2 linked regions of the Arabidopsis thaliana genome follow. The protein of the gene in region 2 purifies or fractionates together with the protein of the main gene of each other region. This does not show direct contact. Each region holds a gene or a part of one and is shown on either strand. Other genes may lie near its edges.

Region 1 (16,392 bases), 1.7 Mb from region 2:
CCGTTCATCATCTGCATAGTCCCCCTGCAGAAACCCAATGCGCCATATTATCATCTCTTTTTGCTACAGCTTGCTAACCACAATGTTTTATATGAGTCATATAATAAAAGTACAAGTGAAGGACACATAAGCTTGATATATAGAGATATGCATGGCTTATACTAATGAGCCCTTGTTACCTGATCACTGGTTTCAACGCCTTTGGTTTTTTCCATTGCCTCTTTTCCCTGAAAACAAGTGTTTTGGTTTAAGAGATGGTATAACTCTGTCTGCTTCTCCACGACGTGCAGCCTTGTCCCTCTTTCTGTGAGATTTGTGTCCAATCTTAATTGCCTTAATCTTCTGTGAAGAATCTTTGAAGCCTTCACCAGGTACAACCTCATGTGGTGGCCTTGACACTGATCTTGATCTTGACAAAGATCTTGATTTAGATCTCAGACACATCTTCTTCTTCTTATGTTGCTCATCATCATTCACATCCACATCCATTGCATCGTTACTCAAATCATCATACCTTTCCCTCTTTCTGCCTCTAGACTTGCTTCTTGCACGGTTCAAAGCAGAAGACGGATCAAGACCAAGAGATGATAACTCTCTACCCATTCTCTTCCTTGTAAACTTCTTATCCTTGTCAAACTTTCTTGGAACAGCTGCTCTGTTTTGTGCATTGCTCTTCTTAAGTCTACTCTCTTCAATAAGCAAAGCTTTCTTCTTACGAATAGCAGCCAAATCATTCTTCTCCTTCTCTGTAAGTTCTTCGCCTTCAATCTCAAAACCAACTTCTTCTTCCTCTGCCTTCCTAAGACTTTCTTCACTTGTCAATTCCTCAAGCCTATTCAAGATGTCTGAATCAACAAAATCAGCAACATTATGACAGTCACAGATCTCAGGTATTATATCATCCTTCCATTCTTCTTTAGCCAAAATGTAGTTCTTCTTTAGACTAGCAGAATAAACCCCAGCTCCACCATTTTCATCTTCCAAATCCTTCTCGGTCTTTCGCTTCTCCTTTTCACCAGCTACCTGAGGTATACAAGGGAGCCTTTCTTGGTCATCACGACTCTTCGGCATCGCCACATGGAACCTGTTCAAGTGATCACCGATCTTTTTCGATTTCATCTTCGCCGCTACCCTCTGATCTAACAGCCTCTGTCAAGCAGCATTCCTCACTGACATCACACCTTCTTCAGTCAAAGTACTCATCTCCAAAATCACTGCTTCTTCACTTGCTCCCATTTCAGTCTTCATAGCTTCATCTTTCATCTCTTCAATAAGTTTCCTATCTTCTTCAGATAAGTTCTCCATAGGCATCAAATCAGTCTTGTTGCAGACAATCACCAACGGTTTGTTCTTGAACACAGACTTTATGTTGTGAAAAAGAGAAGCCTGCTGAGCAATGGTGTAACCACAAGAACCCGAAATATCAAGAAAGAACAAAACAGCAGCTCGGATATGAGCCAACGCGGTGATGCTACACAATTCAATGATATTACGGTCTTCAATTTCCCTATCCAAAAGCCCCGGTGTATCAATCACCTGATACCTCAAACACTTGTAATCAGTATGACCAAGAAAGAGTGACTTTGTTGTGAAAGCATATGGCTGAACAGCTACGTCAGCTCTTGTAACTTTGTTCATAAAAGAACTCTTTCCCACATTAGGACATCCACAGATCAAGAGAGTTCGAGTGTTTGGATCAATCGAAGGAAGCCTTGCAATGTGTTGCCTAACCTGTTCAAGATAAGCCAAACTAGGACCAATACCTTTCATAACAGTACACATACGCCCAAGAGCAGCCACTTTTAAGCACTTGCATCGGTACAGAGAATCACCATGCTTCAATAGCTTCACATAATCCATGGCGATTTTGCTGATCTTGTTCTTCGCAGTATTGACTTGACCAAGAGCGAGCTTGTAGTGATCTTTATTGTAAAGCACATGAAGAAGATCTTCATAGAAGGGTTGAATTTCCTTGAGGCGAGGAAACTCGTCGATAATGGCAGAGAGCTTCTCGTTAAAGTTTGATTCTGTGAACTTCACTTTCCGCATGTAGAAGCTACGGAGTTTGCAAATCCTGTCACCCTTGTGGACAACAGTTGGTGTCTGCCGCTGAGTGCGGGAAAGAACGATATCAACAAACTGTTTTCCGTTTGGCACAACTGTTATCTTCTTGAAATTATATTTCACCATTGTTTTTGCTTCTTTAATCTGCACGAAATTGATACACTTAGTGACATTAGAGAGACCAAAAGGACAACAAGTAGAGACGATGGTCATTTGGTCCAAACAGATTCTAAAACTTGGATTCCTAATCTTAAAACGTTAACTAAATCAATTTCGATTGCTAATCTTATAACAATGCTATTATAGCTCGACAAATTCTAGCTGCCGTGCATAACTATATAACAAGAACAAGTTAGGTTTATCAATCTAACTTCGAGATCCACACAAACCTTCGTCAATGAAGACAAGAGATAGCTCACCTTACTAAAAGGTGAATGAGATCGAGACGGTGGAGTAGCCTATAACAGACAGAGACAGAGAACGTTAATTTGTCTGCCCTAATTTAAAGCAGACACGTTAATTAGGGCTAGAAGGGTTCCTTTCCCAAGTTTCGCGAAAATGAAAAATAACCCTCAAATTTCAAAACTATTGCAAGAACATCTATTAAAATTTAACAAAAACACCATATGTTCAGGAAAATCTCATTTAAACCCTGGTGTTTAACAAAGTTAAAATTACTTATAAGAAATTGTATGTTACTAATTTGGTTCGAGGGATAATCCGATGCCGTTTGGCTAATTTTAGGCTTTCTGAATAAAGAAAATACTTGCGGTGCATTTGCAACTACGTACTACCGCATACGACAACTTTACCAATAAACCCCAAAATTTAGTGATTTCATCAACTAGCCCTGAAAGTATTCTCTCAAGGCTTAAACAATGGAAGTAGTCTATGAAACTTCGATTTTATAAATTTAGTAATTTACCCAAACAGTTCAGATTCATAAGAATATCAGATACAAAATTCATTCTATAACTACTACAGCATAGCGTGCTCAAAAAATGGATGCCAAGAAAAGTTGAATAAGAAATAAAACAAAAATTCAAACAGACATTTGACTCATGAGACCAAACTCTTTTTTAGCTGCCAACACATGTGTGTGATAATATCTATCTACAAAGACCAAAAAACAGTAGTACAATCATCCAATCACTGTCTTAAACTAGAAAAAATAAGAGTAACGTAGTCCCAGAAAACGGGACACAATGCGCTTCCAGGGTTTTTTCTTCAGGTTCTAATACCTATAAGCTGAACCTGTAGGCGGTGGTGCTGGTGGCAACCGATTGGGGGTGGTGCGGCGGTTGCTACCAGACCCTGGTGATGCTGCATCTCCGTTCTGCGCAGGGTCACTGTAACGGCGGCTGTGACCACCGGAACCGTACTTTGACAATGAGTCTGAGGGTCCATTAGCAGCGGAGTTGAAGGCATTCATCCAGTCGTCCCCTGAAGAACCTCCACTTGCTCTTGGGCTACTCTCTGTAGGACAAGTGATACCAAGATTAAAAGATTTATAAACCTAAGTTTCATTGAAGATCTTTCAGATGGTATTTAAGAAACCGTATCAATCCAAACCAAGCAAGCAGAAGAACTGTTATCATGTTTCGAATATAATAAGGCGGATGAATTTACCAGTGCCACTGTTGTCCGAATAACTTGAAGCAGCTGCTGCTCGGTTGTCGTGAATGCTAAGCTGCCTCGTGAGTTTAGAAAGAAGAGAGGATTGTTTCTGGTAACGCTCTCTTCGTCTTTTGACATTCTGATCCTCTTGTATCAATGACTCAATCCTTTCATTGCCTATTGCACTAAAGATCAAATACAGGAGAGCACAAGTAAGCACACCACAACTGAAACGAAACAAGGCACAGGGAACGAAAAGATATTGAACCTTATAGAACTGTAGAGTTGATTCAGCATGTCTTCCTTTGCTTTCTCTACTTGACAAAGAACAACAGCCTGTTCATGGTCAATTCACATCGCTTAGTAGCATGACCGAGGAATCTCTGTAAGAGAAAAGAGATGGACAAGAAAATTTAGAGCTTTCGAGCTTTTGCATAAGGATAGTTCACCTTTGGAACATTGGCTGCAAGGCTGTTAAGAACAGCTTCAACGTAACCCCGTACTTCTTGGGACATCCACCGGAGCTCCTCTTCTGGATCGATGGGTTTCCTAACCATCTTATCCTGAAATACAGACAAGGAAAAAAACGTAAGTCTCAGAAAATATTATAAACAATAAAAACCTTAAATGTCAAACATAACTTATGTCAAGTTTAAAAGTAGTATCATGCATACCCCATAAACTGAGCCTTCTATAGGAAAAATGTTTCAATAATAAAAATTCGACAATGTTCAATAAAACATAAATAGCTTTGTTTGCTCTTCCAACAGTTTCAAACCTTCCGAAGTGAAGTTTCAAACTTTCTTCATAGTGATAATAAGTAATCCATAAGACTAGTGAACGTATCTAACATAGATTTAAGGAAGAGGAAATGTAAGAAAAGCTGCCCATGAGTGACTCACAAGTGAACCTTCTGAAAGACTCTGCCTCATGGAAACACTGCCCACTTGGCCTCCACGAGCCTGGATAACCTTTTGCAACTTATTAATCCACTCGTTCTTGTCGACTACACTCTCAGCCTTAAGCACAAGGGCATTGTGAGCTGCAACATAATAGTTTGAGGAAAACTCATAAAAGTGCGAATAGAAGATTAAGAAGTTTGAATTCTTATAATGATTGATTTATGTACCTTTGAGTACAGTCTTATAGGGAACCTTGCAGGTTATTTTAAACACAAGGCCTGGTCCTTTTGAATCAGGTCCATTTGCCTTCTTGTCCTTCGAGCTCTTTGACTTTTCTACTTCGTCCTCGGGGATTTCTTCAATAGTGCATTCCTGAGTGGATTAATAAAGTTGGAGGAAGTATAATTAGAAAAACATGGAAAAAATGTTATCTATAGAGTATCCAAATTTCTCATCGATAATAACAGAACTATTAAATATTTGAAGCATAAGCTTCAAAATACACAAGTAATTGTCACTCTCCAAGAAGGAAACAGTGTGGGAGAAAATAACAAGGTGAATACGAACTATATTCTTCTCTAATTCTTTTTTCCATGTCATATCTAATTATAGTTCACCTTTGGCAGAAAATAAAGCATAGGAAGAGAATGGTACCTCCAAAGTTATCGTGCCCCGAAAGTTTCTTTCTTCTTGCTTTTTGGTATAGCCAAGCTAGAAAAAGGTAAACAGTAAAGTCAGTAAGTTCTCAACAACTGAAGAATATACGTTTCAAAATGCTGACCTTTCCAGTTTTCTCATTCAGAACAAACCATCGCCTACTCCACCCATTTGTTTTTGCACTTTTCTTCATTAAGTACCCTAAATGAAAAGAGTAAGTATTTGTTATCTACCTTGGAAGTTAGTTTTGTCAAGTTAGTTTTAAGTGATAAAGAAGAAAAAGACATGAAGAAATCATGCACTTGGACTAAGAGCAAAGCTTTGCAGCAATAAAATCATGCAACGTAAGGAAAGCAAATCGGGAGTGAAAAAGCAGAATGAAACTTTTTAGACAGTAACTGGGTAGATGTATATTAGAATAACAACCTGCTGTTATCTCCCCCTCAGGTCCAGCAGTTTTCAGACCAGAGACCTCCGGCGTCTCTTTATCTTGCGGACTAGGTTTGTCTTTCATTGATTTTAAGCTACCACCAGCTGTTGGCCCATCTGGCTGAGGACTAGTAGCCTGATAAACATATATGTAGAGAATTTCCACATTATATATTTTCATGTAAAACGATAAAAAAAAAAAAAAAACATTTTTCACTACGTATATCCAAATTGATACAGAATGAACACACACCCTGCTTAAAAGGGACTGCTCTGCATCTTGTCCCTTCTTAGAAGATCGCCCTTTCAGCTCTTCCTCGCGACGTTGTCTTTCCATTCTGATGGAGTCAATACAGTGCATCGTCAGAAAGAGAAATAATTTTCAGTCATGAACCATTGAAAATAAAAACAAAAATTGCAAAGAAAGACAAGCCAAAATACCTCCTTTGCACAAGACGGATAAAATGTTGAGGTGGTACAAAAGCGCGTTCCATATCAACTAGTGCAACCACCATTTTCTTGGCTTCATTCTTGAAACCATCAAGTGCTGCACTTGCTATAGCTACAACCTGGTTGATGATTAGTCAGAAAGGAATAACTGTTACCGAAATGATAAAATATTACTGAATAAAGCACCAAAAAATCATTATTACCTCTCGCTTGAAAGGAGGATATCTCCCAAGTCCAGGTGTAGCATTTGCAGAAGCTGAAACTATGTCAACAAGAACTCGGTGAACCTAATCAAAAGTTAAGACCATGTTAGCTCAACACGTAAATAAGACAGAAGCTGGATGCATGAGTTTTAAAGTAGGAACCAAAAAATAGCTACATCTACGGTAAGGGATATTAACTTACTAAGGCTTATAAACCAGAAAACTTGACAGAACTCTAAATAACAGTTCGAAGAATTAAAGTGAGACAAGCCATAGCCAGTTCACAATGCAGTAAATTTCTAAAATTCAATCCTACTGCATGTACCTAAAAAAACATGTAAACAAGCACACCTCATCAACACAAAGGCGTGCCGGGTCTTTAGCCAACTCAAGGACAATCTTTATCAACGATCTCAACCCTTTCTCTGGAGATATAAGATAAGGTTGATAACCATCTGCCTCCAAAACAACCTGAAAATCAAAGATATTTTGACAAATCAAGTCTCAAAACTTGTCTCGTGCAGAAACTTAGGACAGAAGAAGACACCCACCCTTTTAACATTGTTCAGGTCAAAATGTCTATCCAATGGAAGCTGCTTGATACGGTTGGGGAAATTTCCTTCAAAACTTGCAACAACTTTCCAACCACTTCCCTGAACAAGAATCAAAAAGTTTTGAGAAAAACATTTGCCAAGCTCCAAAAGGGACTTCAGCCCATAAACTGAACACAGACAAGTACAAAAACTCTATATCAAACACTCAGTTGGCTTATACACATATTATAAACATCCACTATCAGATTCATGAGATTCCCAACAATATAATGTGCTCTTACCAAGCGTAGGCTAGCAAGAGACTTTCCACTACACTAGTACCAAATCTGAAATGGCTGATTGCTAATATTTGAAGAGTTCTTCTCTCTCACTATATTCTTGAATTTTCGACTAAATCTAGTTAACTTTTGTAAGAATGTACTTACTTCACCACCAGCCAAGTGCAGAAGAAACTTGTCTTCAAACTCACGGCAAAGCTCCAAAGCTATAGCCCTTGTACCTTCAGCACTGTTAACTAGTTGTTCACCAAGCCTCGCTAGCTCATCCTGCACTATTTGAGACTTACCCTGGAGCCTGTACAAAGAATTTGAAAGCCATATGCGTTCAAGCAACCAATGTCATATGCCAACACCATAATAAAAATCATGAAGAAAGCACATATATGGAGAGAAGCAATACCCAGACAGGACACTTGGAAGCCTGAGCTTCATTCTGCTACGAATCTGGCTAGCAAGGGTATCCACCAACGCAATTCTGCCAAGCTTGCTTTGTGGAGCCCCAGTCAAAATGGACTTAAGACTTTCACTCTCAGCACGCCAAGCAGTTTCTAAGGAGTTCTCACCACTTCCAGACTGTGCTGACGCAATTGAAACGGATTGGCCAATAACAGCAACCCATGGAATGTCAGTTGTTTTTGGAGGTCCTTGATTTGAAAGAAGAGCCTGAACAGCTGCAAGGGCTTTCGAGTTCTCTGCTGCCTGGTCAATTTTTCCAATAATGCCTATTGTCCTAGTACCTATAAGTAGGGAGGAGTGATGTTAGCTAATGAGTATTTTAAGCAAACTGAAGTGATAATAGGTAGGTAAATCAACAGTTCTTATCAGGTATACAAATAATAAACAATATTAAGATAAGACAGATCGGAAATACAGATGTACTCACTCTCTGGATCATACTCCTTTGCAATCTTCAGGGCTCGGGATGATGAAATTTCAGATGCCTGGCTAGCAGGCACTATAACCAGCAGTATGGCATCATTGTGTTGCGCGTATTCAGCAATCTTGCAAAGAGACCCAAGAAACAAACAACAATTTCAAAAGGATAAACATGATAATGAATCTATATTATCACTTCAGTAGGAAACCGATAAAAATAGTCAAAATCTTTTGTTTCGTGGTTGTCAGGCAAGTTAAGGATATGACAATGGCATTAAGTAGTTCCAAGCCTCACCATTGACTCGTCCACAATTCTCTGGTCCAGTCCAGGCAGATCAACTAATTTCAATGGTGGAGCTGCAATGTAAAGGGTAAACGTAACAGGTTATGATGGTCAAAGAAAATTTAATACTACGAAACTGTCGGTCATATGTCATATGTCATAACTCATGTTCAAAAGAGTGTGTACTGTTTATGTTAAAGCTCCGTTAGATATTTAATCTGATACCCACCAAAGTAAAGCTAGAAGCTCTAAACTAGTGTACTAGATAGTATATAAGGATAGCAAGATATTACAGCTGACCAGTTCACGGGTATCAAAGATAAATTCATACACCCAACTTAGGTTAGCTAAGGATGTGCTATTTGAAGAGTAGATATAGGCTTGCCACTTATGATTGTGCAAGTAAAAAGGGGCTTACCTGTGCTGGTACGAAGTTTTAAGTTTATTTCATCACGATTCTTCCCTGAGGCTCCTTTGCTAAGTCTATCTTGCAGAGAATGTCTCAAAGCACCTAAAATATACCCATGTAGAACACAATGGAGATATTATGAGAAGACTGATCGAAATTTTTTTATCATAAATGCAGAAAGAGCCTCACATAGCATTGCTAAATTGCATATGTTCATAGATAGAGACTTACTTGCAGAAACTTGTTGAGATTTATTGTCGATTTGCAAGATAATTGCCTTGCTGCTCAAAGAACTCTCCCTGCTCAATTCAATTATTATAGGAGCTCGTGTAGCACCATTCTCACCCGTCGGCTGTGTATAGTAAGTGTAGCAGACACAACAGAGGTCAGTATTAGTATAAGAAAAGGAGTAAGCCAATAATAACCATAGACTCAATGTACAACTTACCAGCACTGGATGCCCAATTAGACTGTTTAGAACTGCAGACTTTCCAGCTCCCTGGTTCAGTATGCAAAAAGAGATAAGTAACAAATAACAAAATACATCAGCCTTCTCCGGCACGAGTCGCTCCTCATGTAACCATATATCCACTAATAAAGAGAATCCCAACAAAACTAGCTATAAACGATGAGTGTGTCCTAGCAAAATTCGATAAAAACCTAATCTAGATCCAGAAGATCCACGATATGGCAATCCAACATACACTCGAACACAGAATAAAACCAGCACGAGCCTAAAGAGAGGAAAATCGAGGAGCGTGGAGTGAGAGCGAGGAACTCACCACATTTCCCAAGGCAACGACGTTGAGGAAAGTGGCAGGGCGCTTGGAAGAAGAGGTTTCGTCGGGATCTTCGTCGGCGAGGAGAGACGCCGCCTGCTTCATCGAATCTGAGAGCTGAGACAACTCATCGATCGCCTCCATCGCGACTAGCAAAAGCCCTCCGCGAATCGAGATCGAGTAACCGATTCAAAGTGAAGAGATCTGGAGGAAGAAGGAAGCCACTCGATTAGATCTGAGCAGACCGGAACCGAAATCGGCGGCAATAGGCGGGGTCTTTCCCGGTGAGACGATGGGCCGGAATTTGGAATCCGGTCGCGATGGTGTTAAGCTAAGATTTTTCGTTGGGGATTTCGTAAGGGAAGGCAGAAATGAGCGAAGACGAGGTCATAAAGAGGACGTACGTAAGATTTCACAATTACACGGGACAAGATTCAAATTTCAAAAGACTTACAAAAATCATATCTTTCTAATTTTTTTCTGATCGGTCTCAAGTGCTTCTTCTTTTTCTTACTTAAAAAAAAAAAAAAAAAAACAATGTGATGTGAAATACACATAAAAAAATAAAAAAAAATTATCAGTTCATTTAACAATTTATCATCTATTAGATCCATTCATATAACATTAGATGATGTTGGAATCCCACATTACTAAATCAATGTGAAGGTTCAAATAAAAATGTAATCAAATGTTGTTGTGGATCTCGTTGTTGTTCATATAGTTCTCGCGACATAATTTACCTCAAGGGAAGGCAAACAAAAAATCTATTCACAAGGTGTAACTATTTTCGTAAACTATTATAGTTTTTTTTTGGACAAACAACCCCTACTAAAATCTATTTGGTGTATGTTTTTTGAATAATTGATCCTACCAACCTAATTTTTTTGAACTATATGTGTTTTTTGTTGCCTGAATCTCATCTTCCCTTCTTTAGAACTGTTGTCTATCATCATACCTTCCAACATCTTAGGACTAGTTTGGCAATGTTGACAATTCTTTGTGATGTATGACAAGTATAATTATAAGGAAAAAATAAATAAACATTGGACATAAAAATCAGAAATTTCCAAGCTAACTATATGAAATTTCTAGGCACATTTCTTGGTTCTTTTGATACCATTTCTTTTTCCTTTTGGACATCTGGATATCATATTGTTTGTTTGGGATACTAGTTCTTCCCAAGTTTTTAATCTTAATTAGCTGCTTTGGATCCTTAATAGAAAAATAAACATTTCATATATTCCGGAAATTAGTATAGCCATCGGTTTTAGATTTTCTGGTGATTAAGATATAAGAAGATATTTTTTCAAATATAATAATGAAAAAACAAAATCTACAAATCATTAAAAAGGAAAAAAAAAATCAAAATTAGAATACAATACATTGTCTCAATACTATAACATAACCAAAAGAAGCATCAATAAATTTTACTAATAGTTAATAAGTACAGAAAAAATCGAAAAATTCTAGAAATGTTAAAAGTAATTTTTTTAAAAATAGTAAGGATATAGAAATTAGATAATCAATAAGTTTGACTACTGGATATCTAGAATTATTTCTATAAAAAAAAAAGTGAAATGTCGGACCAAAGAGTTGACGAGCACTAAACCACGTCACAATTAAACGTGGGCCCTCCGGCCCAATAACTTAAAACCAATAGATTATTCCCATCTGGCAAGATCTGCGGACTTTGAACTCGTTATGCTTTTCGACGTGGAGTTTTAAACTCAATTAATCTAATTAAATTAAGCATAACATTCCAATTAATTTTGTTCTTTTATATATATAAGATCAAAATCAACCACACACACACATAGATTTCAACTGGAAGAAACAAAAGACCAGATTTGTTTATGTTTCTTCTTCTTCTTCTTCCTCTCTGCATGAAATTCAGTTTCTGATCTGTTTCAGTCATCGTTTCTCACTTTCCTCGAAGATTTCCACAGATCCAATTTCCATTTATCCACTTACCTTTTTCGATTTCGTTTGATCCTTGGATTTAATTATATGTTACAAATTTAGGAAATTTCTCGAGGAGATTGAATGCAATGGATTTGTGCTTGAAACAATCAGATTCTCTTTGAATCATAAGAATGTTTCCCTGAAACTTTATTTTTGGGGAACAGAGATCATCACTGTGTTGTTGTTTGGGTAGACAAGTTTTGAGTTTCTCGAACAATGGCGAGAGGAGGGAAAGAGGAAGGAGAAAAACACATAGGGTTACTAAAGCTGGCGCAAACGCTGTCGTTTTTGCTAATTTTCATGGCTGGAATCATCATCGGTCTCGCCGCAAGTTCTCACATCGATCGCTACTTCAATTCTTTGCCGAGGATGTTCTCATCAACCACTAACCTCCAATCGATTCCTTTTTCGACTCCTGATTACTCCAATTGCACAATCATCCACCGAGACTGCACAGGTAACGACGACAACGAGAGCGACGACGGAGGAGTCAAGGCGGAGAAACCAAAGGTTCGAGATTGTTGGAGCATTGATGGGTTTGTTCGGCCAGAGAATCTGAGTCATGGAATGACTGATGATGAGTTGTTCTGGAGAGCTTCGATGGTTCCGGTGAAGGAAGAGTATCCGTACGATAGGGTTCCGAAAGTGGCGTTTATGTTTCTGACGAGAGGGCCTTTACCTATGCTTCCGCTTTGGGAGAAGTTTTTTAAAGGCAATGAAAAGTACTTGTCCGTTTATGTTCATACGCCTCCTGGATACGACATGAATGTCTCTCGTGATTCTCCCTTTTACGACCGCCAGATCCCCAGCCAGGTACGTTTTGATGCAGGACAGTGAACTTTTTGTGTCTTGCTTGTGTTCTTCAGTGGATCAGAACAAAACAAATACTTAGTTTCACCAGTGACTTAATCTTGTATACAAGAACAGAGTAATAGATAAGTAGATAAGAAATATAGTCATTCTGGATCATGGAGATCTAGTTCTCTAGAGGAACAACATGTAGATCTAATCGGCATGATGGAATCCAAGTTACACTGGCGCGTGACTATTTGAGATTGTTTATAGGATTTGAACCTTTTAATTGTTTCTTCCACTGTCAGCTACATCTGTTTCAAGGTTGTGTATTAGATGAAGCTTTGTTACTAATTTTGCTATTATGTGATTATTTGGAACATAGCTGGTTTTAGTTTAATGATCGGGAACAGCTTTTATTATAGAGGTGATCTGCTTAGCTGTGATCTGCTTAGCTGTGAACTAGGAAACTATAAAAGACTAATTCATAGACACATTATATAAGCTTCTCTTGTTGATTTTTACACCTTTTATTGTAGTAATCCCTTTAATTTTCTCTGTATGTCACAATGATCCTGGTAATTGCATAACGCTTTGTTTGGTTCTTCAACTTGGTCATCTGATGAATCATGGATGGTCTGTGTCATTGTATGCTAGATCTACTTGATAAAAAAATCTAAAGAATTCTGTCTGGTTCTGATGGGTTTTTTATACTTGAATTTTTTAGAGAGTTGAATGGGGATCCCCACTATTGACAGACGCAGAGAAGCGTCTTCTAGCCAATGCATTGCTGGACTTCTCAAATGAGCGTTTTGTTCTTCTCTCAGAGAGCTGTGTCCCAGTTTACAACTTCTCAACTGTCTACACTTACCTAATAAACTCTGCTTACAGTTTTGTGGACTCTTATGATGAGCCAACACGTTATGGCCGTGGCCGTTATAGCCGCAAGATGCTCCCGGATATCAAACTCCATCACTGGCGCAAAGGGTCTCAGTGGTTTGAAGTAAACCGTAAAATCGCCATCTACATCATCTCAGACTCGAAATACTACTCATTGTTCAAACAATTCTGCAGACCAGCTTGTTACCCAGACGAGCATTACATCCCTACTTTCTTGAACATGTTTCACGGTTCAATGAACGCAAATAGAAGCGTGACATGGGTTGATTGGTCCATAGGCGGTCCCCATCCAGCTACATATGCTGCAGCTAATATCACAGAAGGGTTTCTCCAATCTATAAGGAAAAACGAGACGGATTGTCTTTACAATGAAGAGCCAACTTCGTTATGCTTCCTTTTTGCTCGCAAGTTCTCTCCTTCTGCCTTAGCTCCTCTTATGAATTTGAGCTCTACTGTCCTGGGGTTTTGAGAAAAAACAAACTGATTCATTTCTCCTCTTCTTTCTTCTTTTATAGGGATGAGATGAGATTCTTCTACGAGATATATAATATACATAACATAGGACTCTTTTTCTTTCTTATATAGTTTTATTCTTTTGGTTATAATCTCTTCATTATTTGGGGTTTTATAGAGATGATCGTAATGGTCAAGCCTTTTGTATGTAAGAGTTTTGCTTCTGCCGACCTGCAGAGCTAATCTAGTTGTAGATTTACGAATATATTATTCATTTTGATCACTTTTTGGAAGAAATGGAATTTAATGTTTTGATCGAATTACTGATTTTGAATTCCATTACTCTTTAGAAGCCATTGGCTTCAAAAGAACCATACATACAAGTGAAGAAGCAAGGGCAACGAACGTAGTAGATTATGATGTTGATCCTAAAGAAATAACTACTAGAGTTTGCAAAAAATAGGAACCACAAAGCAAAAGCCAAATTAACTATGAGGAGAATGGTGGTGCAGAAGAAATAGCGAGTTTGTCAAACTAGTTCCTCAACTCCACTACCTTTTTTTCTTGTGTCTCTTGGCACTCATGGGAAGGCCCTGGCTCCTGTTGTTGAGGAAGATGACTGTCCACAGAGTTTGACCACGGTGTCTGATTAGCCACCTCTCCTGGCACGGGATTTAACCACTGTGACTGCTGATGGCTAGCTGTCTGATTAGACCACTGTTGCTGCGCTGTCCACCCTGACTGCTGGCCAGCTGTCTGGTTAGCCCACTGCTGTTGCTGGCCGGTTGTCTGATTTCCCCACCCTTGTTGCTGGCCGGTTGTCTGATTAGCCCATGGTTGCTGCTGGCTAGGAGTCTGATTAGCCCATGATTGCTGATGACCAGTGTTCTGATTAGCCCACGGTTGCTGGTGACCATTATTCTGATTAGCCCATTGTTGCTGCTGGCCAGGCGTTTGATTAGCCCACTGTTGCTGCTGGCCAGGCGTCTGATTAGCCAATTGTTGCTGCTGACCAGGCGTTTGATTAGCCCACTGTTGCTGCTGACCAGGCGTCTGATTAGCCCAAGGTTGCTGCTGGCCAGCTGTCTGATTAGTCCATGATTGCTGATGACCTGAAGGACTTGACCACCCCGATTGCTGAGACCAAGATTGCTGCTGTTGATATCCCGGTGCCTGTCTCGACCATGACGGTGGCTGTTGCCCTGCCGTCTGATTCGACCACGATTGTTGCTGCTGGTTATCAGACGTGTTGGACCAAGAGGGATTCTGGCCATTATTAGCCTTGTAAGCTCCTCCTGCTGTTTGACCTGCAGTTCCATTGGCCCAACCTGAATTGGAATGCACCACTCCTTGGCTCGTCCATGGGGCCCTGTCTCTAGGCTGCTGCGGAGCTGCAGGTGTGGTTCCAAACACTGCGGGTACCCTAGGTGGAGTGTTACCAGACTGCCCAGCGTTTCTAACCGGCCGGGCAACAGAGTTCAAAATTTTCTCAATCTCCTCACGACGTCCTGCCTTCTCAAAAACCTCAATGATGAATTCCCGCAGCACAGTAGTAACCCCAACATTATGTCTAATCATCTCACCAACAATGTCCTTGGCTTGGTCAAGTGCATCACCATCACAAAGACCTCTAACCACCACATCATAAATGGAAGGATCTGGTTTTGGTTCCCTCTCTCCCATCTTAGTCAAAACTTCTGCAGATTCCGTGAGCTTACCATTCTTAATCAGCTCACCAAAGACTCTTGCACCGAAATCAGCAACCACCCGTAGATTCACATCAACCATCCTGTCCAACATCTTGACAGCATCGTCAATTCTCTCTGCCTTGAGATAAGCATCGATCATTGCTCTATGACTTGGAGCATCAGCAGGCAAAGATCTAGATACACCTTCAGCAAAGAACCTTTCAGCTTCTGTTAACATCCCTTGTTCACAGAATCTTGTTACTATGTTACAGTAACCTAAATAATCCATCACAAACGGTTTGGAGGTGACCTTACTTCCGACCTTCTTGAATGTATTAATAGCTTCACTAAACTCTCCCATCTTGAAACATTCATTGACCATTATACCAACCGTATCCGAATTCACCGAAAGGATATTCGGAGGAGCGTGATTATCCAACATCTCATTAAACAAAGCCCAAGCTTCATCCTTCTTACCAAACTTAAGAAACACTTCCAAAAGTACATTACCAGTCGGTGGATGCATTCTGAATTTCTTATCTAACAAAGACCTGTAAGACTCCATAGCTTCCTTATCGTTCCCTTTCTCAAACCAGTACTCCATAAAGGTAGCATTCACAATCCCATCATAAACAGTACACTTAGACTTCAATTCATCAAAGAACTCAACAGCCTTATCGAAATCACCAAGGTCCAAATATCCCCTAATCAGATTGTTGTACACCGTGGAATCCGCAGCTTGACCTTTGCTCAACATCTCCCTTAATAAACTCGCAGCATCTCCGATCCTTCCAGCTTGAACCAAACCTTTGGTCAAATGTCTATAAGTAACTGAGGATGGAGCAAAAGGAGCATTAGCCAATATGTGTCTGTACACTTCAAGGGCTTCGTCGACATTCCCTTCATCACAATGAGCGTTGATGATCTGATTGTATGAGACTACATTGGGGACGATGTTAGACTGCTTAAAGAAATACTGAAATAGAGAAATCGATTCACTGTAACGCTTGGCTCGGTACATAGCGGCGATGATGGCGTTACAGGTGAAGACAGTAGGTCGAGTATTGGAAAACACAGACTGGCGAGCGAGCTTTGA
Region 2 (15,333 bases):
GGGTTCGACGTGTGTTATTACCTCATCAAGAGGATTCTCAAACTGAAGATTCACACTCTCTGCATGAGCACGCATAACTGGAACACGTATACACGTTGCTGTTACTTTTACTTCTGTGTCATTCTGTGAAGGGCAAGAAATTGGTGTGAGATATCTAAAATTTTTGAACAAAAGATCAAAGTGAAATGAACACAAAATAGCACTTAAGTAACCACTCACCCAGATCTTCCTTGTCTCCTTCACAAGTTTCATTTCCTCTTCGTTGTAACCGTTGTCAAGAATAGGAGCATTATGTGAAAACAAGTTAAATGCATACTGCAGAACAACATACAAAACCATCACATTACTCAAAAAGGGATTTCATAATCAGCACATTCGAAATACAAACTATAAGCAAATTAAGCACTCACCTGCTGCCCGAAGATGTTACAAGTCGGAGGTTTACCCTCTAAAACCTAAGAAAACACACCAATGCAAAGAAGACGAAGAAGCAGAATCACAACTCAGCACAATCATTAAACAATTCAATCAAAGAAGGCTGAAATAGAAACAAAACCTCACGAGTCTGCTGAACAAGCTCTTCCATAGCTGCAGCACCAGCACCACTAGCTGCTTGATATGTACTAACCACCATTCTCTTCACCTATTATAGCCAATCAAACATTATTCAGAGCACTAAAGTCTAAAGCTTCCATTGATTCTCTAACTACCCTTCAAAATTTTGGACTAAGCAGATTTCAGAATAAAAATCGAACCTTTGCGTGATGATGAAGAGGCGTAACAGCCATCAAACAGATAATGGTGGAGCAATTAGGGTTTGCAATCAAAGCCCCTTTGCCCATTCCAACTTTGATCCCTTTCATTGCTTCTGGATTCACTTCAGGAATCACAAGCGGAACTCCATCAACCATTCTAAAAGCCGAGCTATTATCAACAACAATGGTTCCTTTCTCCGCCGCCAGAGGACCAAACTCTTTGCTTATGGATCCACCAGCACTGAACAAAGCTATGTCTACACCGTTGAAGCTATCCGCCGTGAGCTCCTCCACCGTGTATTCATGGCCATCGAAGGCAACACGCTTCCCTGCGGAGCGTTTCGATGCAAGCATCTTGATGGAGCTATAAGGGAAGTCTCGATCGGATAAGACGGAGAGGAATTCTTGTCCGACGGCTCCGGTAACGCCAACGACGGCGAGTGAAGGCGCAGATTCTTGGAGAGACATTTTGACTCTTGCGGAGAAGTGTCTAGGTTTAGCTCTGAGAGGAAGGCGAGAGAGGAAATGGGTTTGTGGGGTTTGATGAGTGAACGTCGCCATTGTCGCCGCCGTGAGGAAGAAGAAGTGAGAGACAGAGAGATAGAGAGATTTTGGAGGCGGCTGATAGAAAAAAGCTTGGGACTTTAAAGTGTGTTAGTGAATTGACCAACATCTTCAAAATTCAAAACAGCAAGATTGTTTAATTTAAGATACAGAAACAGCATGATGTTTGAAACTGCTCATTCACCAGATTGAGTATATTCACACAACTTTCTCATGTGTTTCATCATTTCTTCTTTTGGAAATATTAAGTTGTTGAAAAGTCTTTTGTCATATAACAAGGCTTAGGGATCATATTTAAGAGCTCGTGATTCTGGTTTTTAGCTCAAAGACATCTATAGCTAACTTTGGAATCTTACACGTACAACAAGAGGACATTAAGTTTCTAGAAGTTAGTCTGGTCTGTTGATCAATCCTGCTTTACAGCTTACTTATGATGTGAATAAGAAAAGATAAGCAAGAGCGAGCACTCAGTCACCAGATTGAATATATTCGCATTACTTTCTCATGTTTTCATTGCTTCTTTTGGAAATTTAGAGATGTACCACTAGTTATGTTCTGACCATTACAAATATTCAGGTTAATGCTTCCAAAAATAAAGAGCTAAACATTATTGTTTGTTAGAGTTACTGGAGCAGCCTGAGGAAGAAGAACATCTTGGATTGCTGTGAGCTTAGCTCGGCCACCGTACTCTTCCGGTAAAGCATCTGCTCCGATCTCCTCCTCGAATTTTCTCTGTTCTTCTCCATCCGTAACTATCACAATCTATGCAACAGCAAAATCATAATTTATGTGATTCGTTGCTCAAGAACCATTAGAGATAGATACATCAAGAGGAGATTAAAGATCAAACCTTTTCCTGAGTTGCTTTCTCTAGAAAACGGCAGACGAATTTCCAAACGGTCACGAAGAATCCGGGCATATGCAAAATGTAGCATTTTGCAAGGCGTTCCGGGTAGTAAGACTAGAGAAACATTTTCCAAATTTAATAGACAGGACTTCTTTTTGTGTGATAACTATATTGTTTCAGGAAGAAGGGAGATGCTTACTTGTAAGAATTGAAAGCCAGTGATCAATCCACGAGCATCAAGGTTCTTGTATGTAATGTTTGCCAGATCAATAACGGCTACTAATTTCTCACCTCCAACTTCTTTGCCATTGTTGCCACTGAAACATAAAAACCAAAAAGCTTGTCTCACAACCAACTAACCGGAAGATTATTGAAGTGTTTTGGTTTCAATAATGTGTAAACACCTTGCGATTGTTTTGTCTAGCGCATAAACAACAAACTCTGCAACATCAAACAGATAAAAGATTAGTTCATAGATAATTATCGCAAGAATCAACTCAAGGAAAACACATAGATGGACTCAAAAAACTTCATTCATTTGAAGTCAAATGAAACTACTCAATAATTAGAGAACCAGGAAAGAAGCTGATCAGTTCTATGAATACAAAAGTCACTGAAAGTCAAGGGACAGATTATTTCCAACGAAAGTAAAGGTCAGAAGCAAGTGAGAGGTGATTACTCTTGAAGTTAGCTGGATCCTTAGAAGCAAAATGCTTAGAGGTTATGACAAGCACCAATGGGTGTCCGGATTTGGTCGGACCCTGAAGACAGACCTTTCTGAATTCCAATTCATCCTGCACTTCTGACTCAGGGATGAATCCAGTTGGAGGAACCATGGAGGCTCTCCATTTTTGCCAATCTACAAACATCTTTGCTGCCTTGACTGGGTCCATTGATCTTGCCACCAGGAACCTCATCAATGTTGGTTTGTCATATCCCTTTTCAGAGGAAACAACAACAACAAAAACCATTGATGAGATTTTCTGATTATGGATTCACTTTTACTAAACTGTCTCTACTGTTAGGGTTTCTGATGGGAGGCTCAAACCTAATCAGACAAACCACTATGACGAGAATGGAGACAGAGTTTTAACAGTGTAGCCCATATAAAACCCATCAAAATCAAATGACAGATATTTCTCATTTTCTAACGAGACATTGTCAGTGAAACTCATGAAACGGCCAAAAGATGCAAGCTTTGTAAACTGTAATGAAACTAAAGCGTCGAATTAGATTACCTCAGTAGAAGAAGAGAGTTTCTCGACCGATTTTCTCAACTGGGTCAAGGCAAGTTCTTGGCTTTCCTCCATGATCTTTGGCTCTCTCAGATCCTAAAAAAATCTCACAGAGAAATAAAGAGAGAGCCTTTTGTGGTCCGTACAGACGCACGATAAAGTAAGTTGAAAAAGTAAAGAGCTTTGATGTTGACAAAGACCCAGAAGCCACAGGAAGAAGAAACAGACAAAGTATTGGGTACTTGTCTCTACGGTAAGTGGATAGAAATAACTCAATAAGCCTTTCCCCAACTCGCTGCAATTAATGGGCAGCTGGAAGTTGAAGCTCTCTCTTTGACTTTTGTTTCTACTACTTTGACGATTTAAAACAGCTGTGATGATTACATTGCTTTTTAACTCCTAAATCCCGAATCTTAAGGCTTACTTAAAGTTCTTTTAATCATTTTTCTGATCAACCATGTGAAACAGGCTTTGTTAACGGTTATACATTTAGCTGCTTGTTCTTAATTGAGCATTGGAAATTCAGTTCTAACGATTTTTATTGTTTGTGACAGAAGAAAAGTCCTTTAGGTTAATAAGTTGTTCTATCTACATGAGATGTACATTAAATTTTCAAGAAAGATTAGCTTCTTTGTCATCTATTTGTTTTTAAACTTGAACTGGATCCAAATACAGTAATGGCACAAGTGGAGACCAATTGAATAAAAATCAAAGATTAGCTTCCTTTTTGTCTAATGTAAAGAGTGCGACTTCAAAATATGTCTTAACTGTTCTAAAAACCAGTATTCAAGAATCGAAGATACACACCAAAAAAAAGTGGGAAAGTTGTGATAGAAATTAGCGACCCAAGAAAACATGAGTAGTCGCGTGTATGTTTGTGTAGACTGGAAGTTAGAACTCCAAACATATCTATTATAATGCAGTGTGCCCACACGAACAAAGAAATTAACAATATAAAGAATATGTCTTAGCAAACCCCCTTACTTCCAAGCCACTGCATCGATGTCGTCTCTAGCTTGTTTGTAAAGCTCTAGCCGTTTAGCTAAGGTTCCTCTTCGTTCCATCAGCTGTGGGTCTTCGTCCAACATAGCACCCAGCTTCTCCTTCTGCACCATCATTTTTCTTAAATTTATTCTCGATTTGGGCATGGCATTTTCTACAAGGTAACAAAATAATCCAAAGGGTAATAATATAGTTTACCTCTTTCCTGCCAACTTGAGCGTAGAAGAAGTTGAGAAGCGATCTCTTAGCTTCTCTAACTTGGCAGTAAACGACAGCTTTGGGAAGAGAGTTTCTCAATGTGTCGCAGACCATGTTTATGTATGCACTCACGTTGGATCCTGAATTATCCAAAGTCAACAAACAAAGACTTGATAATGTATCATTTCTAAGTAAAGGGAGGCGAGAGAGACACGTACCGATCTTTCTGAAGTGATTATCGGAGTAGGGGTCTGCGTTTGGTGCTGGGGCATTCCTTGGGTTTGGTTTCTCTTTCTCGGGTTCAAGATGGAGTTTCCTGAAGAACTCAACCGTGAGGTAGCTAGATTCCATATCCACCAGACGCAAAACCGTTTTCCTGCTTTCGTCTCTGAATCTTTCAAGAGCTTCATTTGCAGCAGCTGCTATATCGCTTGCTAGAGTCGGGAAACGCTTCAGTTCCTGAAAAAAACAGCAATGGTATGTTAGGACTAAAACAGAGCGTAAAGAGCTAGGAAGAGTTCTCAAAACCAAAGGCATCTTGTCAGTTCTTACCTCTGTTTCTGAAATTGACTTTCTGACCAGCTCCTTCAATACGAAATGCACCTAGGAAATATCAAACAGCAATCAAGAATATAGTCAATTTACTAAAACTTAAGTCTCAAAAGTAATGCAATCTAATAAATTTTGGAAGCATACTGCATCGACAGTGGCTTCAGCTGGTCCTTTGAAATAGCTTATGGATCCATCAATGAGCCTTCTGTATCCTTGTTCAGGAGCAATAAGATGCGGCTGATAACCATCTGCTTCTGAAACAACCTTCTGAACATTTTTGGTAGACAGATGTCGATCAAAGGGAAGTTTCTTTAAGGCTGCTGGTAATTGATGGTCGAAAACTCCATAAATTCGGTCTCCACCAGGTCGTCTGATACAAACAACATAATGACTGTCAGAAGACCAACTTTACCGGACGTACATTGTGAAATTATGTGAAGCATTTTCTGGCAAACATCTATGAAAAGGTCATTGATGTAATTTTTTTACTAAAACTGCACATCCTTAGTCTGGAAACTGACTAGAAGGTAAGCAAAATTCATTATAGAGCAGCACATTACTCTGGAAACGACACTATCTCTTAAAAAAATTCATAGACTCCAAGTTGATCATCACAGTCGCAATGTAATAGTACACCAACAAGAAGTTATAAGCTTTACGAATAAGAAGTAGAATAACTAAATCACTTACCCTCCATCCAAGTGCTCCTTAAAGACACGATCAAATGCCCGGCAGAGTTCCAAAATTGTGTAAAGTTGGGCCTGAAATCATATATTTAGTGAGTGACTAACCATACGATTCTGATGCAACTCTGAATTCCAATTACTTAATGGTTTAAAATCTTACTCCTGAATCTACTGCAATGGGTCTCCCAATCCTATCAAGTTCTGCATTTATCTCATCGATGCTTTTGTTGATCAAAGCAACAATACTGGGGATTTTCTGCCTGATAACAGTCTCTAAGTGCTAATAGAGAGGAAAACAAAGAAGGAAGAAAGTCAAAGCTAAGCATTCAAGCTTTAATTTAAACGAGATCTGTGCAAGTAAATCCAAAGGGTACCTGAGACAAGAGTTTTGCTAGATATTCTGATCCCATTCTACTGGCTAAGTGCCCGTATTCAGGGCTTGTTTCAAAATATTCTTGCTCTTTTCTACGTGCAGCAATCATATCGACTCTCTTATTAATATCAGCTTGTGAACGATTCACAATTCCAACCCAGGGATGTTGCAAACGGTATGACCTTCCCTCAAGAACCTTCATCAAATAGGTAGAGGAGGTGTCACAATATATTAAACAAGTAACAGAATTAGTTGACACCCCAAGGTGCAGAAATCAAGAAAGACGCTTACATCTAGACAATCTGTTCCTTTATCCATGATATCAAGCTTGGTTGCAACACCAAAAGTCCTTTCGCCTACAGAAATATATTAGAAGGTTAAGAAAATGTTGTGGAGTGTAAAAAGTCACTACTTACCAGTTATTAGGAAACTACATTTAGGTCGTACCTGTAGGATCAACTTCTCTAGCAAGTTTTATAGCATCTGAGGTAGCAATATCTTGATTTGCTGGAGAAATAGCCAATATGATGCAATTTGGCTGCAGTTAAAAGATTTTATGGATAAGCTTCCAGAGTTGACATTATAGTGAGTGATGATGATCAAATGCATTCTTCTGTTCAACTTGGTTGGAAAAGTTGAAAAGATTGCCGAAACCGTCTCAGTAATAGCTTAGAGCAAGACTGACCTTTTCAACATAAGACCGGACCATATTTTCAATGTCTTGGACAATACTTTCCGGTTGTCCATCTACACGAATAATATTCATATCAGTGACTAGTTTAAGCACAAGATTCATATCAGTAACTAGTTTAAGCACAAGCTAAGCTACTGGATAAAAAATAGTAAACTCTTACCTACAGCGACCTTGGTCAAACCCGGAAGATCTATGAGCGTCAGATTAACAACTGTAGAGAAAAGAGTAGAGTGAGAAATCAAAGTCACATGGAAGAGGTTAGCAAAATTGGAATCTTCAAATCTAATTGTACTACTCGTTATCTCATTACAGCTGGTATCAAACTATCAATAATATAGGAAATTTACGGTGTTGGTTTCTGAACTAACTACAATAGGAATGCATAACAGGAAATGTGGTCTTAAGCACAAACCATTAGGAGAATATATGCTCAGCTGAATTGGAATGTTTGAGATTTGTTTTGACTTCCCAGTAATACGATCAGTTTCATCCTCAATTTCTTTCCGCACAGCAGCTGAAAAGAGAATAACACTTAGATTAGCCCGACATGCCTTTGTCGATTTCACTGTTTCCAGCAATTAGCGTGAAAGATTCAATCAAACTACCAAAATCAGCAAATCTCTTCTTAGGAGCATGAAGAAACTCAGCGTACTCAGTTGTCCCGTCTTCAGTCTTATGAAGTTGCAACACCAATGGCCTCCTTGTAACGATACCTGATAAAATCAAATGGTATCAATTTAGATGGTCTCCTTCTTCAGTCTCATGTTTTTCGAAGTAGTCAAAATGTTCATGTAATGCTCTCAAGATCACAGAGCTTCGCTAAATTGTTTGAAATCGAAGCAACTAATAAGAGCACGAAATTCCGAAAACCTAATTTCAATTCCAAACATCGAAGACACTAGACAAAATTGCTTAACGAGAGGTAAAATTACCAGATCCACGAGGCAGAAAATCTCTTCCCACAACACTTTCTAGAACTGAAGATTTTCCGGAACTCTGATCCACAATATCAACCAAACAAAAATGATAAATCAGAAACGTGGAGATTGAAGAGGCGAGAAGTGAGATCGGATCTTAACGTAGAAATGTGTATATTCAATAGAAAGAGATCAAACCTGGCCACCAACGACAGCGACGGTTGGGAGAGCTTCCCAAAGCGACATTCCTTCACCGCCATGATCTCCGAGGACAGTACACGCCCTCTGGATTTTGTTTATCAGACCTATCAAACTTTTCATCGTCGCCATGTTTCCTGGAACGTATCACAGATCCAGAAAATCTCTCACCGACGCTCAGATCTAGATCTAACGAAACGAATATAGTTATCGGAGGATGGATTTGAAACGTCCGGTGAGTTGTTACTCTCTCGCGGTAGCAGGAGGGATTGATGAATCTGGGAGAAAAGAGGAAAGAACCCAATGGAGCAGAGAACGGTAATGGGAAAAACAATTTCAAACCAAAAAAGTAGGACTACTTGCTCAAATATATAATACTTTTGGACCGAAAGTGAAAATATATCAAATCCCACGTCGCTAAACGCGTACCGGTCAATGATACGGAACCGGTTCAATTCATGTGGTTATGTTCTTTTTTTCTTTCTTTTTTACTCAAAAGTCAAAACTACTAATTATCATTAAGACCTGATTACATTACAAATGTACTTTTTTCCCAATAAAGTCTGACTACAAATGTTGTAAATATCCTTCTCAAATCTCAATGATGGTGTTCTTATAACTCATGTGGTGTTCATTAACTCTATCTCTCTCTCTTTTTGTATATAGCTTTTTTGGGTTTTACCAGTTCTTTTTTTGAACACCAAGAAGAGTTCTTTTAAAGATAAAAAATTAGGCTACCAATATAATCGAGGTTAATAAGAAAATTAACTAAGAGGAGAGAGTGACACACACAAAACAAGAGAGTAAAAAAGCTTAAAATGTTGAACAAAACAACCCTACCTCTACTACTGCAGTACTACTATACATAACGCAACAGAGTAAGAAATATATCAGCTAAGTGAAGTCAATGTCTCCCTTTACCTTGAATGTTGGAATGCTTTAGAGAAACACACATCGAATCAATCAGGTACTTTACACGATTATCTCTTTCGGCTTTTGAATCCCTTCTCTCAATTTGGTACAAGAACCTTAAGGCAAGCCACAGAGACCAACCAGTGATTGATCGAATCAGTTTGTCACTGTGTGCTCCTCGTCATCCCGATTCGTCCAGACACTCTACCAAATGATAAAATACATAAACAATAATGACATCTAAAGGTAATAATAAAGCTTATTGTAGTTGATATGATAATACATTAATACCTTCCAGAAAGTAGCTGAGCTGTGTTTCCCTTTGAGACCGAGAGACGTCTGGTCTTACTATCTTGTTGTCCTTTATCAACAACACGCATTGCAGCAACTTCTTTCCCCATTACAGCTACTTCTCTTCGCATCTTCTTTGCCTCAACGTCCATCGCCTTTGTTAATGTTTCAACCTTCTTGGCCAACATCTAAATATACACAACCCATATCTTTAGACTTATATTATACAACATTTCATATAAAGGCGGCAAAGAACAGGAAAAAAGGCCAAACACTAGCAAACCTCAATCGCTTCGTCCTTGTCTCTCAGGCTCTGATCTTTTTCATGCGCCGCTTTTCTTAATGTTATGACCTCTTTCTGCAGCAGATCGTACAAGACACCTGGGACGCTATCATTATTTGTTGCCTTGTCAGCTGATTCTTCTTCCCCTTTTATTGAGCTAGGCGATTCGCCTCTGCTAGTTCCTTCAGAAGACTTGTGGTTCAAAGGAAAATTCGATCTCGGTCCATTTATTAGCACTTTGCTTCTATCCAATGATCTGGTGCCCCCATCAAATGATCTTGATGTTCCTTTCGCATGCTTCAATACAGTGCTTGCACTAGCAGTCAATGATCTCAACTGAGAACTTGGTGTTCTCTTAATCAGCGAGCCATTTGATGTAATTTTTGGACTTGTTTCAGCTCCACCAAGGGATTGTCTTCGAGTAGGCCCGTTGCTCGAACTTCTACCAACAGATGTGCCTCTGCTGCTGCTGCTCGTAGGCCCCTTTAAACTCTCTTCTAACACTCTAAGCCGCAGTAAAAATTTCTCCTAAAAATAAGTAAAAGCAGCAATTCCTCAGTTAGGAGATTAAAAAAAATAAGATGGTGTCCCGCAGCTATGATTCTACCTTCAGCTGAGCTTCAGATTTTGCAGCTCGGTCAGCTATGGCAAGTTTGTCGCGTAGTTGTTGCATTTCTCCCTGTCCAAACATAACGGTGGTGGCAATAGTATAAGTTAATCTCCGTGAATATGAATCACAATTTGAAGCAGCAAGAGAATTTAAATATTAATATGTATCAGCAATGACCTGCAAAAATCTACGTTCTTCAAGCCACTGCCTTACAGGCATCACTTTGTCATTAGAATCTTTCCATTCGTTAGCTACAACAGTAGCAACTCTGTTTGCATTTACCTTCGCACGGGCCAATTCCCGTTCAAGGATTTTCCTCTCTTCCTAAGGAAAACACAAAACACCACAATTACGATCAGTACGAGACCAAAACACTAACAAGAAAAACAGTAAGTTATTGAGGTACTATAGAAGCATATGAAATATACATTCATTTCTTGGAATTTCCTTTGGTAATCTCTCACTGCGTTTGCGGCTGCACCACCAGCAAGAACAGCTTCTTCTAATTCCCGAACACTCTGCATAAGCTTTTCAACTTCTGCAACCTTCTGTCTGTGCATCTTGTCTATAATTCTATTCTCTTCCTATTTTAACCAATGTATCAACAAATAAGGCCACCACAGTGGTAAGAAAAGGAAGAGATACCCTATTCTGGTGTTCCAATATGTAAAAGAAATGATATAGACATACCTGACAAATTTCAATCTGTTTCATCAATTCTTGGTTCTTATTCTGGAGATCATCAACCATTGAAGCCTTTGCCAATGCAGACTGAACTGTCCTTTCAGCGTCAAGCAAAGCTGCTTCCTTTGATTTGGTTAGGCGGTCCAATGATTTATTGTCGTCTTGAAGTTTAGCAATCTACCAATCAAAACATGTAAACCCATATGAGAAAGCTGTTAAATGTCCCGTAAGTTGTTGAATCGAGCTATACAAAGGTAATTCTGGTTCAAAGGAAGGAAAATACTTCTTGTCTCGAAAGTTTCAGTTCAGCTTCTAAAGGGGCAAGAATAGCTTCAATTGGAGGCATGTCATCATCCTTTTGAGCAGCATGAACCCTACGAAGAGAAGCTTCTGCTGCAAACTGAGCTGCCATGGAAGCCTTCTTTTCTTCATTTATCTTCTTGATTTCAAGGTTCTGTGACAACATACAACATCATTATATATAGAATCAATATAAATAAGCGATCAAAGAACAAAGGAGATATTAGAAGCATACTTTACTCTCAAGAAGATTTTCAATAAGTTTGAGTTTTTCCGCCATCTTTCCCAACTCTTCAGTGAGCTTCAGCACTCAAATAAAATAGCAGAGAAGTCAGTACACAGAGAGTGTAAAGAGAGAAACTTTATATGACATAATTCCAAACAAGTAAAACCAAGCTCAGGCTACATGACTACATATTCTATAAATAGGAATATCACAATGCCACTCAAGCTAAATACTTTGTTTATGTAATGGAAGCTTAAAGTGTAAGGGCATAAACCTCTTCAACAGCCTTCTCTCTTTGTCGTTCAGACAACCTCAAAGCTTTGATTTCAGCTTGTCCTTCAGATAATTCCCTATCCTTATCTGTATAACCAAGTCATTGTTTCAAACACAAGAAGCAAAGTACTAATCCAAAAACCAATCTCAAATTCCATTGTCAAATCATCAACAAAATCACATTTCTCGTACCTCTGACTTCATTCTCCAGCCGATTTAACTCAATTCTCACGGGATCTGAGCCATGGAGAAGGTTCATGAACTCGTTATCCGCGTCAAAGCTTGGTCTCATTGACCTCCGTCGTGACATGCCTTTGCTTCCTCCTTCTCGATAAGAAGCCGATATAGCCAATGAAGGTGACATAAATCCTCTTTCCTCCATTACTTCCGATCTCAATCCTCACCACAATTCAAAATTGAACCAAAATGCTAAAGTTGTAAATTAGATCGGTATATATCAGAAAACAAACGAAGAGGACAACACTACAAAGCTCATCAAATGCTTGGGCTTAAGAGAAGAAGAGAACACTTCTTGTTTTTGTTTTGTTTTGTTTTGCAGAGAGATAGAGAGATTTAAATGAGGTTTAAGGGTATGGTTGTTAAAGAGTGACAACGATAGAGACTGATTAGCGTCACTGTTAATTACTGTTTAATTGTGTGCTCCTCTTTGATTTTATTAACTAGTTTCATAAGGAGAAATTGGGTAATTAGCAATGAAGTAGTACATTCTTGTCCAAAAGAAATTATCATAACACTGGTGTTTCGTAGAAATATGGTTAATTTACATTGAAGGGATTAGGGACCATCTGTATTTATTTTGTATGTGTTGTCAAATTATTAGGGACCATCCCATTTTGTCCAAACATGTACGACAAATGTAAAATCACTAGACACCATGTCTCATGATTCTAACTAAAATGACACAACTTCTATTCTGGTTTTTTTTTTCTCAATCAAATTTCAGATTTAACTTTGGTGTACATTCATGTTATTTTCCCCTTTTTTTTTTTTTATCATCACGCATAATATATTTGTATAGATTAATTTTCGTTGAATTTGATACTGTATTCATTTCTTGAAGATACTAGTAGTATATAGTGAAGAAATCAATGTAAGAGGAGACAAGAATCTTTGAGCTTTAATGAGCCGAACATGTCCCTAAGTCCGGACCACGGTCAAACCAACTAATCTCAAATTTTGAGCTGTTTCTTTACATTATATTATATCTTAGTTTCATACTTTCATTGTATTACGTTATTCATCTAAACACATTTCATTTACGTAGTTACGTTTCTTTTGTTTTCTACCGTCTTTTACATTATTCATCTAAACAAATTTAACTATTTCCTGATAGACGGTAGAAATCTACATAAAGTTTACATGCAGAAACAACCAAAACTTTACATACTCGTGAATATCATTCCTAAGTTTGACGTAAACACACTAATCTATCCTATTCCTACCTAATAATTTGTTGCTAATTTTTCTATTGTGTTGTTTTTTTCCTCGAGTGGAGGATAAAGATCAACCAAAAAAGGGGAAACAAAAGCTGCCAGAAAATTCTACTTTGGTTCTACGAAAATTTGGAATGGAATCCAACGTCGAGAGCAAGATCAGTCAAAGTCAAAACTCCCAATTGTGCAACTGTATAACTTTTAACCAAGATTTTCTTTCAAAAACTTCTGATACATCATTTTCAAGTTTGTAAGAATTTAGCATGCAAATACAATAAGTTAACTAAGTTTAAAGGAAAAACTAAAGGAAAACAAGAAGTATTTAGCCAACAACAACACCTCGATGAAGAAATTACATAATACAGATAGAATTGACAGACAAGGCCCCGAATATAAGAGGGAACTACAGAATTATTTTCTCTTTTCGTATTTTTGATTCTCTTTGAAGGGGAAATTTCCCCAAAGAGCAATTTAAAGTTACAAGAAAGCCGCTAAACCCTATTAAGTGAAATTGGATGCATATTAAGAAAGAAAGAAAAAAGTGATGGATCAGAAGGAGAATGGACTTAAGAGAGACTCGTCAAGTTCTTTAAAACCTGCGTATACACCATCCGTCTTGTTCGGTGGCAGAGCTAGTCTCCTAACCTCTGTCATATACCTGTTCGTAAAAAGACATATCTTCGTGTTTTCAGAGATTCTTGATTTTAAAGTATACTTAAAAATTAGGGGTGGGCAAGAAAAGCAGACCAAATCGAAACAAAATGACAGAGACAAACTTGCCTGTTTGCAGCGTTTGCAATCTTATCACGTGCCCCTTGGTTAAGAGCAGCTTTGTTCTCTAGCGCAAACGAGCCGCCTAGTATCAGAGAAGACCTGGTTGGACTCGACCCCATTCTGTCTGACAATACAGACATTGCCCATTCACGGAGTACCACTAGAACTGAACGAAGGAGGCGGATTCTTAGATTTGGGGATGGCACAACAGCTGCATTGGATAATAATCGGTCATAAGCGTTGAGCACAGGTTCAGCTGCGCCTTTGCAAGCGGCTAGAAGAGCTTTAGCTATGTCTTCATCCCTAACATTTTCAATCCTTTCTGATCTCTCCTGTAAAATTTTCCACAAGATGCACTCAAATTCAGTTCATAACCCAATGAAATGAGTCAACAACTCTACTAGAAGGATGGGCTTACAAGTGCAGCTCTCTCAAGGTGAAGGCATAAAACATCCAGCGGTAAAACAACTCCATCGCCAGGGTATATATGAGATCCGACTCTCTTAAGAACTGCACAGGCCTCACGTATTCCGCCTTGTGAAAGAGCTTGGTCAATGAGTCTAGCCCATGTTTCCCTTATTATACTTGAATCAGCATCACCAGAATAGTTGGCAAAGTAAAGCATTTCCAGACAGATCTGCACAGAGTGAAGCCAGAACAGCAAACAAGCAATGTAAGCATACACAGAGAGTCGACTATACTAGCACTGAATCTTTCCAATTCAATAGTTTAATCTTATGATTTTCCAATTTTAAACTAGGATACTGGTGCAACAATTCTCAGCATGACCTAAAACAGTCATTATCGACTTTAAGTTACGTTTAGCATGAATAGAACCTACGAATTTCCAGAATATCAGCTAAGTTACAGCTATAGAGGAATAGTGGCTCTCCTTTTTCTATGGTTACTTCTAGAAAACCAGTTACCCAGAAACATGGTCCAAAAATACATTGATTAACGAGAATATATATATAAAGATGATAGTTTATGATTTTAAGACTCACCTCCCAGAGCTCAAATGGGACAGCATACTCATTATACAACTGTGTTACACTTTTAAGTTCCGAGGAGACCTCCATGGCCATTTCATTTGCTGCATTTGCTAAGTTGGTATCATCACTAGAATCACCATCCAGTACTTGCCCGTTCTGGTCAGAGTCCTGCATGGCAACCGAGGACTCAAAATTGGAAGCTATAGCTTCAAGTTTGTCCCTGATCTTAATTTGGAACTGAAGAACTGCGAGTTTTCCTTCAAGCAGATCAAGCAATCCACTGTCAGAAACACCTTGAGCAGAACCTACTAAACCATCGCTATTACTCGCATTCTTGGCCTGTAAAACTGCTTGACTTAGGTCGTCTCGCCTAAATTCACAAGGCAGCAACCCATTAGAGATGAAAAAGGAAGGGAGAGTAGAAGAAACAAGTAATGTGACTTAGGGAAACATTCAACATTTAATTTAGGGATATATTCAACACATAACATAAAAGAATGTTTACCTTCGTTC

What was found.
Region 1: the proteins of DL1C (region 2) and ADL6 fractionate together in Arabidopsis thaliana (co-fractionation; one large-scale study listed by BioGRID). This does not show direct contact.

Annotation. Positions count from the first base shown.
Region 1 is NC_003070.9:3,364,027-3,380,418, reverse strand, and holds ADL6 (dynamin-like protein 6), read right to left. Parts: upstream 10,018-16,392; 5' UTR 9,646-10,017; coding exon 9,505-9,645; intron 9,222-9,504; coding exon 9,171-9,221; intron 9,075-9,170; coding exon 8,954-9,074; intron 8,825-8,953; coding exon 8,732-8,824; intron 8,388-8,731; coding exon 8,326-8,387; intron 8,156-8,325; coding exon 8,038-8,155; intron 7,892-8,037; coding exon 7,555-7,891; intron 7,450-7,554; coding exon 7,302-7,449; intron 6,976-7,301; coding exon 6,874-6,975; intron 6,794-6,873; coding exon 6,674-6,793; intron 6,407-6,673; coding exon 6,323-6,406; intron 6,239-6,322; coding exon 6,111-6,238; intron 6,008-6,110; coding exon 5,923-6,007; intron 5,806-5,922; coding exon 5,667-5,805; intron 5,442-5,666; coding exon 5,365-5,441; intron 5,295-5,364; coding exon 5,238-5,294; intron 4,956-5,237; coding exon 4,811-4,955; intron 4,724-4,810; coding exon 4,584-4,723; intron 4,245-4,583; coding exon 4,131-4,244; intron 4,018-4,130; and 7 more. Other genes in the region: AT1G10300 (Nucleolar GTP-binding protein), read right to left, coding at 193-1,149, 1,171-2,277; AT1G10280 (Core-2/I-branching beta-1,6-N-acetylglucosaminyltransferase family protein), read left to right, coding at 11,680-12,276, 12,983-13,624; GRP23 (glutamine-rich protein 23), read right to left, coding at 14,143-16,392. UniProt on the Arabidopsis thaliana protein: Microtubule-associated force-producing protein involved in clathrin-mediated vesicle trafficking from the trans-Golgi network to the central vacuole. Able to bind and hydrolyze GTP. Binds specifically to phosphatidylinositol 3-phosphate (PtdIns3P).
Region 2 is NC_003070.9:5,103,318-5,118,650, forward strand, and holds DL1C (DYNAMIN-like 1C), read right to left. Parts: upstream 8,430-15,333; 5' UTR 8,154-8,429; coding exon 8,022-8,153; intron 7,903-8,021; coding exon 7,839-7,902; intron 7,620-7,838; coding exon 7,512-7,619; intron 7,421-7,511; coding exon 7,319-7,420; intron 7,118-7,318; coding exon 7,067-7,117; intron 6,960-7,066; coding exon 6,898-6,959; intron 6,751-6,897; coding exon 6,660-6,750; intron 6,569-6,659; coding exon 6,504-6,568; intron 6,409-6,503; coding exon 6,214-6,408; intron 6,120-6,213; coding exon 6,000-6,119; intron 5,915-5,999; coding exon 5,844-5,914; intron 5,524-5,843; coding exon 5,298-5,523; intron 5,205-5,297; coding exon 5,154-5,204; intron 5,061-5,153; coding exon 4,820-5,060; intron 4,742-4,819; coding exon 4,602-4,741; intron 4,508-4,601; coding exon 4,382-4,507; 3' UTR 4,099-4,381; downstream 1-4,098. Other genes in the region: AT1G14810 (semialdehyde dehydrogenase family protein), read right to left, coding at 22-123, 220-315, 411-455, 557-643, 756-1,316; AT1G14820 (Sec14p-like phosphatidylinositol transfer family protein), read right to left, coding at 1,920-2,081, 2,170-2,280, 2,366-2,483, 2,571-2,607, 2,846-3,104, 3,405-3,476; MAP70-4 (microtubule-associated proteins 70-4), read right to left, coding at 9,098-9,137, 9,225-9,412, 9,508-10,035, 10,115-10,186, 10,295-10,441, 10,546-10,701, 10,808-10,978, 11,085-11,255 and 3 more; NUP155 (nucleoporin 155), read right to left, coding at 13,604-13,712, 13,835-14,160, 14,247-14,465, 14,833-15,190, 15,326-15,333. UniProt on the Arabidopsis thaliana protein: Microtubule-associated force-producing protein that is targeted to the growing edges of the cell plate during cytokinesis. Also plays a major role in plasma membrane maintenance during pollen maturation. Has a GTPase activity.